Daphnia pulex: one gene and its partners. The protein of the gene in region 3 purifies or fractionates together with the protein of the main gene of each other region. This does not show direct contact. Links are inferred from orthologs where the notes say so. Each region holds a gene or a part of one and is shown on either strand. Other genes may lie near its edges. The genes, in order: protein Churchill-like, src substrate cortactin-like and actin-related protein 2.

Region 1 (2,710 bases), on a different chromosome or scaffold from region 3:
TGATATGGAGAATGTTGGTCAAGATGACGGTTCGACCAAGAAGCCTTGCACCACTGTATCTTGTTTGATTAGCCGCGGATGTTCTGACGAGTCTTGTTCTCAAGATGGCAACTGATCACATCCTGGAGCTAATGAGATCCATTAATATGTTCCATAATATCCTGTTTAAATTTATGTAAAAAGCAGTCTGATGTTTTATCTCCAAATGCATTACACGATATAATTTTAAGAGAATCAATTTTCTTGTTACTGTCCTTCCAAATTTAAACATGTTTGGTTACAAACTTCAGACTGTGGCACTTTTTAGTTCTGTTGGACCTCGCCAATTGTGGTTTTAAAGCTTCACCTTGATGATCGTGATCAGAAACAACGACAAATTTAACATTACCAGAAGTTATAGGTTAAAAGTAGCCCTTTTAAAAAACAATTTCAGCATATTGCAACAGTAAGCCAGTAATTGAAAAGCTATCATAGGTGAATCTAATCACATTTTCCATGACAATTTAGGATAAAGTATAGCAGGTAATGAATGCATGTTTCTGTTTGATACAGTTCCTCATTAGGAGTTACCAAGTTTTAGGACCAAATGTGAATGTCAACACAACATTGCACATTTGTGATAGCAGGAAAATTAATTTTTAAAATACAACTGTATTATTAATAATCAGTATTTAAGCGGTATCTTAGAAAAGTGTTACAAAAAAGGTTATGATGGAAAATTTAGAAAAAATCCAAAGAGGCCTTTTGAGGATCATCAGGAAGAATGCTAATTGAATCCTCAGCAGTTCCACACAATGCACAGTCCATTTCATATTCTTGGTAGTCACCTTCGGCCCAGAACTTGTAATTGTGAATGGAAATTATATGCTGGCAAGTACCACAAGCATCTAAATGTTATTGAAATAAATAATTACAAGGGGTGGTAAATTAACATATTAATCTGAATTTATGTTTTTATGCACACTGAACTTACGTTCAAAAACTGTTACTTCGATCCCATCATCTTCTGAAATGGTCTTGTTTAGCACACTCACTTGGTTTGATTGACATTTGCAGCAACATTTCAAATTTGCCATGTAAGCTCCCGAATCTAAGCACATTCTATCCTAAAATGTAAACCGAATTTAGTGACCCATTCTTAAACTTTAATTGATAGTTAAATTATACCCTATTGGGATATTCTTCTTTAAGACAACTTTCACACATAATTGAAGTTAAAAGAGAGGAAATAGTAATGTAGAACAGGAAATGCAGAGGAAGAATACTTCCTTTCTTGTTGGGGTTTGTTTGTTTTCAAAATCGCTACATTTAGTCTGCTCACAACACAGCTACAACGCCATCTATCTCATGAAAAAAAAACGACATGCATTGCGTTTTGGAAAGTTCCGTAATGCAACGGATTGGTACTACCTGCGTTAAGCAAAGCTAACCGAAGGGCTGTTTTTGATTTTTGTTTATTAAAAAAAATTGTGTAAGACGTTCAATAACTCGCTAATGGCCGTAACAAGACAAAGAATAAGAATAATCCAGCTCAGAGTAGGCTACCCGACTACCCGGTTTATCCTTATCCTGTAAGGCTGTAATATTCCTACTTTTTTCGAGAGAACAAACCATTGGGTTTTCTCTGTACTTCTTAAATCAATTTTATTCTTTGAATTCTTATTTTGAAAAAAAAAAAAAAAATTTGACGGTCGAGTTGCATAAATTGGCAACGCTGATGACCGTTTCTCCGCTTCCGTTAAAATACGTCAGTAAGTCTGCAGAGCTGCTCGTTGATGGACATGAATCGCAAGTCATCCCTCCCTTTGTTTTTCGAGCGGCGGATTGGACCATTGCATGGACGTTAAGGCTGCCAACTAAACTAACGTTGTATAAAATTTTCATACATTGAACTGCTTTACTACATTGAGAATTTACCATTTTGTCCGTTCACGCCAGTACTTCTTGCTCTATCTTAGGATCTGTGGTATCCATGAGTTTCCCGTCCCCCAACACGTGGTTGAAATGAAATAATCATTTTAGCCCAGGACTCCATGGACTAAGAACTGGAAGATTCTGAGGAGGAGATGGGCCAATGCACTGAAAGTCTAAAGCGCTAGATAATAAAAACATTTAAATCTCATTCTGATTCTCTAACTAATGAACATTTTATTGATTTCTACAGATATGGGAAAACAAAGAAGAAGAATATTTTCATTAGTCATTGTAGTTGGCACGGCAGTGGTGTTCATGCCCTGTTCTTACTTGAGCAATGCCCAGATTAATAGCCTAAACCTGGCAAATTGTCATCATACTCCAGGTAACTTAGCAACAGACTAGTTTTTGCGACCATTAAATTTATTCTCTCAGTGTGATCACTTTACTTATGTCAATTCTTTACAGATTGATGAAATGGAGAGAATGATGAAAAAATCACCCTTTCATCACAATGACAGCCTAATTTGAGCTTGCTCGAGTGCATGCTGCTGTCAACCTGATGCAGCCAGCAACGGAAGAAGAACCAAGATGATTGAACAAACCTAAACAACAATTACATTCAAAGGTCAGACCTTGAAGTTGGTGACGCAACTGCTCACTCTTCCTCGGCGCCGTCACTCCGACTTTTATGTAAGAAAAATGAATTCTACTAGATTTGTTGTTTTGACTTATATTTTTTTTCTTGTTATTAGGGAAATTGTTACGGCTTCTGCTGTCGTTGTTTCGACAATCG
Region 2 (4,247 bases), on a different chromosome or scaffold from region 3:
ATGAATCAACAGGCTGCATAAGATAGATTGGTCGGTTGGATCTCGGCACAATAATCATAACAAAGCATTGTGATTTGAGTCGGCAAACAACATCTAATTATTGGTTCTTAATTAAATGCAGATAAGGGATAACTTGCAATTCTCTTTCCACAATAATAGGCAAGAACGATGTTTTTCCGTCACACATTTTCATCAAATCAACTAATCTGTAATAAGTAATGTTTTTCTTCACCGCGTTGTGAATACTGACTGGACAACAATACACGAATATAACGCCACGCGTAAAAAGAACCGCCATATGGTTGGCTTACGAGATAAGGAAAATTCTTGGAAAGAATGCTTAACAATTGGGAATAAAAAAGAACCTTGGATTGTTGGATAAAACCTGGAAGACGAAAAAAACTGGATAGGGTTTCACTGTTGCAGTTGGACGTAATTAGCGGGAAATAATCCTATCTGTCCTCTACACTCCCCTCGCCACCAACCTTCATCGATCTGCACAGCAAAAGAGTTGGTTAGAAACTAAACACATTTTATAAATTAATAAACATTACCATTTCGATGTTGACAATGACTTCATCCGGGTCAAAGGAGAGCTCGTCTTCTGCAGCAGCTTGGTAATCGTAGAGGGCGACTGCAATAAGACCGGATCCAGTTTCTTCCGCAACTGTTTCTAAATTCGAATTCTCTTGGACGTAGCCTATCTCTTCTTCGTCTTTCCAGGCGTCATCCTGCTCATCCACTTGCTCCCTCCACGCTCCATCATCCACTTCTTCGACAGCTTCGGCCAGATCATCGTTCCATCGTTCAAGGGATTGCGCGATATGTTGTTGAGTTTGTGCCGGAACAGGTGGAACGACAGTCGGTGGAGGTGAAGGCGACCTAGCAGGTTCTGGAACTGGAGAAATCACAGGACTTTCTCGGATGACTGGCTCTGGTATAACAGGCGACTTGGCTGGGAGGAATTGGTTTTGTCGGACAGGTTTTTCTGTTTGGGGGATTTGTTTAATGGGTGGCTCTGTTTGAGGCGTCGACTGTGTTTCGAATTTGTGTGCTATCTTAGCCATTGGGCGGGGATTCTTCGGTGGAGGAGGAACAACCTAAAGAAATGAAAAATGATGTAATACATTTGTTTGTAATAAGAAACTATCAAACGTTTACCATGGCTGCTTTCTTGTTTTCTTCAGCAAAATTTTCAAAACGGGATTTCAGCAAAGACGCTTTACCTTTCTCTATGGAACCAAATGAGTTTAATAAATTCAAACCAAGAAAAACTTAACGGAAATTTTTATTGTTACCCGCAATAACTGGCTTATCCTTCTCGTAAGTAGTACCAACATGACCTTGTTCTTCATCAAAACCGACGGCCGCTGCATCTTGTCTATCTGTTTGAACACCAAATTTTCCTCCGAAACCTTTTGAACCATCTACTTGGCTCTCATGTTTCTCTACTTTTTCTTGGTAATCATAACCAACAGCACTCTGTCACAAAAGATAAATTAAGAAATTAGTTGGATTACAATAACATTGCATTGGTAGGTTATACTTTATCGACTCGATCAGCCTGGACACCAAATTTACCACCAAAACCTTTATTTCCATCCACCTGACTTTCATGTTTCTCCACTTTTTCTTGATAATCCCAGCCAACTGCACTCTAAAAATTGCACTTCAATAGAAAAAATTCCTTTGTTCAAACAGTTATAGAATTTGTTACTTTGTCGATGCGGTCGGTTTGTACGCCGAATTTCCCACCAAAACCTTTGGAACCATCTGTTTGACTTTCATGCTTTACCAACTTCTCCTGATAATCCCAACCAACAGCACTCTATTTAACCGATCCAAATAAAACGTGAGAAAATAGTGGGCATAACTGTAAAGTAACTGAAATAAAACAATAATGCGCATATTTTAATGAAATACCTTATCAACTCGATCAGTTTGAACTCCAAACTTGCCGCCAAACCCTTTGGCAGCATCTGTTTGACTGCCATGTTTTTCAACCTTGGCTACATAGTCATGCCCCACTGCAGACTTATCCATCCTTAATAAACAATAATAGTAAGAAATTGGAAAGATGTACAAAAAATGAATCCTGTTCTTACCTGTCCTTTTGAATGCCATATTTCCCACCAAAACCAGTGGTGTAATCTTTTTGAGAAGCATGTTTTTCAACTTTTTCGATATGTTCATGCCCGACTGCACTTTTATCCATACTGAAGAAACAAAAACAAAAGTTGATGAAATTCACATTTTAGTTTTCTAAGAAAAACATACCGATCTCCTTGTACACCAAATTTTCCACCATATCCATAAGATGCTTGAGGTCCTGCAGCCATTACCTTTTTCTTGAGCTCCAGATCTTCTTTAGTCGTTTGCTCTCGTAGAGCATTCATACTGTAAACATTGACAGAAACCGTTAACGTAAATACACAATGTCTTGAAGAAAACATTTATGCTCACTCAATAGCACCCGCAGTTCTTCCCCCACCCCATCGTTGTTCTTCTTCTGTTACGTTGTTAATATAATTGGGATCGGTATCCCATTCATCGTCATCTTGGTTGACAACAGGAGCCTTGATGCTGGAACCAACTGCTGATTTCCACATGTTATTACAATCTAGAGAGAAAAATAAATTTTAATTTAAAATTATTTGTGATAATTAATGATCTCTCTGACGTACAAATTCTTTAATAAATAGATATAATACTAATTTAAACCGGCTAAAAGTTGAGTCACACGCCCTTTCTATTTGATAAGAAGTTAAACAATCCGGATAGTTTATCTTGCAACAATGCCATTCGGAAATGAATTTTAAAAACTTATTTTTATTTCGTCATAAAATCTACTAATAATAATTAAAAAAAAAATTTAAATTGTTTCTATGAGTATAAAAGTGTAAATATCATTAATGAAAAGTTTGAAATATGATTTGGCGCAGCATAAAGATTCAAGCATGCACCATGCAGTCAATGCAGACGAAAACAGTAAACAAGAAATCATCAAACTGATTGTGTTGAGGCTTCAAACATCCTGAGAAAATGTCGACGAGAATGTAAGTCAAGAATTTCAAAGCTTAATTGGGTTCACTCAAAATTTATAATTAGTTACGATTAAAAAATCTAAAAATGTAGATATCCAGCTTTCAAAAGCGGTAGTCCTAAATTACGGGTGTTCCTACCTGACTTTTGGATGAAGCTTGTCAAACCGAGCCACAATTTGCTACCTAATCAAGTTCAGTTTGTTGTCTCATCACAAATGACCAAGCTTGATGTTAAACAATATCTTGAAAAAATTTACAACCTCCCTGTTGTTCATGTCAGCACCTACAACCAAATGGGTACGACAACATTATTGAGGTTAAAATAAGTGATGTTTTACTAACACTTAGAATAATTTTCTTTAAAGGGAAAACAAAAACTTTACCCAACACTTATGTCACTAAGGAAAATGATGAAAAAATAGCCTTTGTAACTCTGGTAATTTGAAAACTTATCTTGTTTAATGTTTCTTCAACTGTAACCATTTTGTTTTGTTTGTTTTTTAGCACAAAGACCACAAATTTGTCTTCCCAGAAATTCATGGCAGTACTGACATTTATGATGAGCAAACTAATACTATGAAACAGACAAAAGAATTGTATGCCCAGAAAACAAGCATTAATATTTCTAAACAAGGAGTGCCTACATGGTTTAGTCATTGAATTTGTAAAAAATTTGTTAGAATACAGTAATAACATATGGTTTATTTATTATTTTATTTCATTTGTATAAGATAAAAAGAAACTCCGGGTAGGCCTATGGCACGGTATTTGGTGGGGGGGGGGGGACTTATTGAAAATATTTTGCTTCGGAAAAAAAAGTGGCAGAAAGCAGAAAAGGGATTCCATAATTTTTCATTAACGTTGTATTGTATTACCCATTAACCCGAAATATTGAATAACTTTTAATAGTCTACATTTTTTCTCGTAACGCCAAACAAATAAGAACCAGATTAAATTTACAGATATGATAGTGGTTACCACCATTTAGCTTATTTTCCGCCCCAATGAGCCATAGGTCCATTGAAAGGATTCTTGATGCATTTATCCGAACTCAGATAAGCTGCAACTTTCTCTAGCCCTCCGATTCTCGCGTGAAATTCTTTCAGATTTGGGAATTCATCAATTGACCCAGGAATCATTTGAGAGTTCTGGTCCAATAACTCATAGACTACAAAGTCAATGTAGGTAATCTTCAAGAGAATC
Region 3 (4,281 bases):
AGTCATGGCCGCCTTCTTATCTTCTTTGTGTTAAAGAAAATGCAAGAAGTCAACGGAAAAAAAAAACTACATTCATTCTCCTATACTACGCCTGTGCCTTATCCGAGAATTCACATATCCTTGTGTGCATTTCTTGCGGCTGTTTTTTTTTTTTAAATAATGACGTTGTTAACCATTTTAAACTATGGCTTCATGGTCGTGCCCAGTGTAACCTTTTAAAAAGGTATTTCCCTTCGTTTTTTTTTCTTTCTCCTGTTGTTGCCTTGGGAATGTTAAATATGTCCTCCTCTCTGAAATTATCTGCTACCACGGCCATACTTTCCCCCTATGTGCAATAATAAAATTGCTTGAGTTTTCTTCTCTCGCCTGATTAGTTGCTATAATTACAGAGGCTATTTTTGTTTATTCAGCCAGAATTTGGGGGTCAACAAAAATTAGGGAGGGCGGGAATGTGAACCCAGCAACATGAAAAAAAAAAATGGACATCTGATTAGTAATAACATGACCTTCGATGGGAATCGGAAAAGAGGAACGAGCGTTTAAAATTGCGCGTTAGGAGCGGTTGACCAGTTTGTCCAGCACGCGGATGCCACGCTCATTGTACTCTTCCCTCGACATCCAGAAAGATTCTTTGTCTTTCATGACATCGGCCAATACGGCACCACCAATGAAAACCATGTCTTTACGGCGAGGAGGATCTTCAATACGAATTTTGAATTTCTGCGTGCCAAGAAAAGAGTAGTAAGTAAAATGTACGTCTAGAACACAAAATTTCATCGTTGTACCGTAAGTTTCTCCGTGTCGCCTTTAAGAACTCGTTCAAGGTACAGCTGTTTGATTTCCCGTTCGAGCCTAGACGGAAGTCCGGGATACATGGTTGAACCGCCTGAAAGGACGATGTGTTTGTATAGCGACGGGCGGACATCGATGTCGGCCGCTTGGATAGTCGAGAAGACTAGCTCGGCGATTCCTGACCCTTCAACGTTGATCAAGTGAGGCTGGAAAAGCGCTTCAGGGGCTTCGAACCGTTCACCACCCACTTTGATGACGCGCCCATCTGGAAGCTTTTTTAGAAATCGAATTTTTTGGTTTTTAAATATGCCATGGCCACAGCGACTCGAAGGTAGAATAAAGGGAAACTTACTGTGTATGATTCGACTAAAACGGTTGTTTCGAGAGCCAGTTTTTGTTCCGTTTCAATGTTATAGCCAATATAACAAAGTTTTTCTTTCAACTGGCGAACAGTTTCAAAGTCTGCCGTATGATTGAATGCGTAGCCTCTCAGCAGCAAGAGCTATAAAGAGGAATATTACTGAATTCATGCCAAACTATTGCGGGATGGATCATTGATTCTACCTTGATGAGATATCGGGTAATATCTCTTCCGGCAATGTCAAGACGTCTGGTTAAGTGAGGCATTGCAAACCCTTCGTACACAGGACAAATGTGAGTGACACCGTCTCCAGAATCGACAACAACTCCCGTCAGCAGACCCTGTGCGTAAAGTGTTAGAACTGCTTGGATGGCCACGTAGGTTCCGGCAAATCCATATTTTTCGAACATGACCTGTAACAAACGGCACAAAGATTCGAATTTTTACACACCCATTTCCACCACCACCATTGAAACATGGTGACAATTAAAAACATTTACCTCAATCATTTTCTCGCGATTCTTCAAAGGGTTCATCGGAGGCTCTGTTAGCAAGACCTTACATTGGTGAGGGTCAATGTTCATTTTCTCAGGGCCAAAAGTGTAATCCCACACATGACACATGTCTTCCCAATTCCTAAGGAACACAAACAAGCAGATTTATAAACACCAGTTCAAATTTAATAAATGTATCGATATATACCTAACGATTCCGTTTTCCATAGGGTAGTTCACTTCAAGCATTGAGCGAAGTTTACTCGCGTCATCTCCGACCATTAAATCCTGTTGATAAAAGTCTTCATTAATTTAGATTCAATTAAAAAGAACACTAAGTTACATGCAACTAAACATCAATGCAAAATTCCAACAAACAATATCACACCATAAAGTGCTCAATACTTACAGATATGTGAGCAAATCCCTGATTGAAAGGCAAGCAATTAAGCCAAAATCATGATTCAGTTCATTAGAAAATAACAAAACCTTTTTTTACAATCAAAATCAAAACTCCACAAAGACATTCATGTTATAGGACGGCACAAGTTGGTTTTTTACTATCACTGTTATGACTTTATAGGTTTTTAAACTATATCTGTGTTATAAGAACATGACACAGATTTTTTTAAATGCAAAACATGTGAGATTCCCTCTGTACTTATCCTTGGAATGTCACCTTAATTTGATAACCCTAGAAAGTTTTGTGTGATGTCGAAACCATGGAAATGGACAGTAAGATCGAAACTGCTTGAAAGAAAAGAATTTTATCATACCTTCACTTCGATGTCACCAATTTTGTTGGCAGCGCGAATGATAGGTCGTCCAACCAAAGATGGGAAGATATGTGCTGGAAAGTTTGATCCTGCATATCCAACTTTGACAAACTATCCAACATTGATAAAGGTGAGTTGCTAGTTTGCTACATGGCCGGCAAAACAACATTAATAAATATTTCAAAAGAAAAAAATAACTCACCCCTGTTCCATTATCACAAACTAATACTTTTCTTCCTTGACTATCCATCTCAAAGTTTGTTAATAGTTGATTTTATATTGATAATCTCAATTCGTGAACAATACGACACACAATTTGACAGCGCCCTAAAACCAAAACTACTTCCCGTCGGAGCCAGACGATAGCAGCTCATGGGGGTTGGGAGTTGCCACGGCAACCGATTGCTTAACATCATTGGTTAATCCAGCTGGTTAATCAGTTAACTCTGGTTTTAAATGACTATCTCGAATCGTTATAAAATATTTGAGATAAAGTTTCTTAAAAAAAATTTTGAAATTGTAAAGTATAGATTTTAAATTAATTTGTGAACTACATTATTTTGATGCAATGATTTATCTGAAGAATTTTGGCAACGCCGTTAATCAACCGGGAAATTCAAAATGTTCAATAACAGACAAAAAAGAATTAAATAAATTAAACGAATGAATTGTATATGCATACTAAAGTCAAATACTCTTACCAACACTGAATATTATCCATTGAAGCATGCAACACTAGAACATCTTCTTTAAAGAACATGAAACCAAACTGGCCAAAATCATAGGAAGGCTGAGGAAACTAAATTGAGTAAATTCCTTGGCAAAGCAAGAACTTGATGATGCATTCAAATTTAAAAAGGATATTTCAAAGATTTTTTGCCATTCTTTTATTCCAAGCCTGTTCATGCTGTACACATGTTGTACATTACCAAATTTTCAAAATTTTTCATGTTATCAAATCAGATCACAAAACAGCCTTTACTGAAAAATATTTAGGTAGCAATTCTTGATATACTTTTAGATCTTTATCTAAAAACACACAGAATATCACTCTTTCCAATGTTGATTCATCACTTTCAAGAAATTTTCTTGTTGTTAACAATGCTACTGCAGCTGCATCTCTATTGGGGTAACCATAAACCCCAGTTGAAATGCAGGGAAATACCTAATTAAAATTTTGAAGATGAAGAAATGGAATCCCTAAAAGGTACTAGAATGTAAAATCATGACTTACTATTGTTTTTAGTTCATTTTTATTCGCAAGTTTAAGACTATTAGAATAACAATCAGACAGCAAGTTAGAGTCTTGGTCCATAGGTCCAACAGTCTGAATCACATCTGGAAACATAAATACTGTATAGAAACAGGATATCATTCATACTTTTTCTAGAGAAAAATTTACACTTTGCAGGTAGTTTGTATCCTCCTGTCAGTTTAGCATCCCCTGTTTGACAACCACCTTTGATAGATTGACATTCTTCAAGAAGATAAGGACCAGCTGCTTTATGAATTGCTCCATCAACTGTTGAGGTAACACAAAACATTGATAAACAATTTAGAAATTTTCAATATTCTTTATTAAATTTCACCTCCACCACCACCAGCCAACCTGCTATTGGCTGCATTGACAATCGCTCCAACTTCTAGTTGAGTTATATCCCCTTTCCAAAGAGAAACTTTAGAATTGATTGATAAATTGGGTTTTAAATCAGTATTGTTTCCATCTGATGTAGAATGGGGAATTTCTTTTGATGTCTCTTCCCAAGTTGGAATCTCTTTCACTGAAACACAATGTTGATTTCGAGTTGCAGTGCTTTTTTCAAAGTACTCTGTAAAGAATGTAATTACATGATAAAGC

What was found.
Region 1: the proteins of actin-related protein 2 (region 3) and protein Churchill-like purify together in Homo sapiens (affinity purification with mass spectrometry; 4 studies listed by BioGRID and IntAct, with this or other methods). This does not show direct contact. The link is inferred for Daphnia pulex from reciprocal best matches to the Homo sapiens genes ACTR2 and CHURC1.
Region 2: the proteins of actin-related protein 2 (region 3) and src substrate cortactin-like purify together in Homo sapiens (affinity purification with mass spectrometry; 3 studies listed by BioGRID and IntAct, with this or other methods). This does not show direct contact. The link is inferred for Daphnia pulex from reciprocal best matches to the Homo sapiens genes ACTR2 and CTTN.

Annotation. Positions count from the first base shown.
Region 1 is NC_060026.1:15,993,312-15,996,021, forward strand, and holds protein Churchill-like, read right to left. Parts: upstream 1,323-2,710; 5' UTR 1,207-1,322; coding exon 1,168-1,206; intron 1,107-1,167; coding exon 974-1,106; intron 888-973; coding exon 721-887; 3' UTR 632-720; downstream 1-631. Other genes in the region: uncharacterized protein LOC124205734, read left to right, coding at 1-115. UniProt on the Homo sapiens protein: Transcriptional activator that mediates FGF signaling during neural development. Plays a role in the regulation of cell movement.
Region 2 is NC_060023.1:10,192,565-10,196,811, reverse strand, and holds the start of src substrate cortactin-like, read right to left. Parts: upstream 2,806-4,247; 5' UTR 2,685-2,805; intron 2,621-2,684; 5' UTR 2,610-2,620; coding exon 2,464-2,609; intron 2,398-2,463; coding exon 2,278-2,397; intron 2,217-2,277; coding exon 2,106-2,216; intron 2,045-2,105; coding exon 1,924-2,044; intron 1,829-1,923; coding exon 1,718-1,828; intron 1,658-1,717; coding exon 1,547-1,657; intron 1,483-1,546; coding exon 1,299-1,482; intron 1,233-1,298; coding exon 1,162-1,232; intron 1,101-1,161; coding exon 555-1,100; intron 496-554; coding exon 415-495; 3' UTR 1-414. Other genes in the region: 39S ribosomal protein L23, mitochondrial-like, read left to right, coding at 3,043-3,056, 3,136-3,341, 3,410-3,480, 3,549-3,704.
Region 3 is NC_060020.1:5,358,629-5,362,909, forward strand, and holds actin-related protein 2, read right to left. Parts: upstream 2,819-4,281; 5' UTR 2,674-2,818; coding exon 2,626-2,673; intron 2,535-2,625; coding exon 2,424-2,534; intron 1,936-2,423; coding exon 1,856-1,935; intron 1,790-1,855; coding exon 1,654-1,789; intron 1,567-1,653; coding exon 1,357-1,566; intron 1,295-1,356; coding exon 1,145-1,294; intron 1,065-1,144; coding exon 786-1,064; intron 721-785; coding exon 553-720; 3' UTR 384-552; downstream 1-383. Other genes in the region: macro domain-containing protein CT2219-like, read right to left, coding at 3,388-3,588, 3,658-3,761, 3,826-3,945, 4,013-4,252. UniProt on the Homo sapiens protein: ATP-binding component of the Arp2/3 complex, a multiprotein complex that mediates actin polymerization upon stimulation by nucleation-promoting factor (NPF).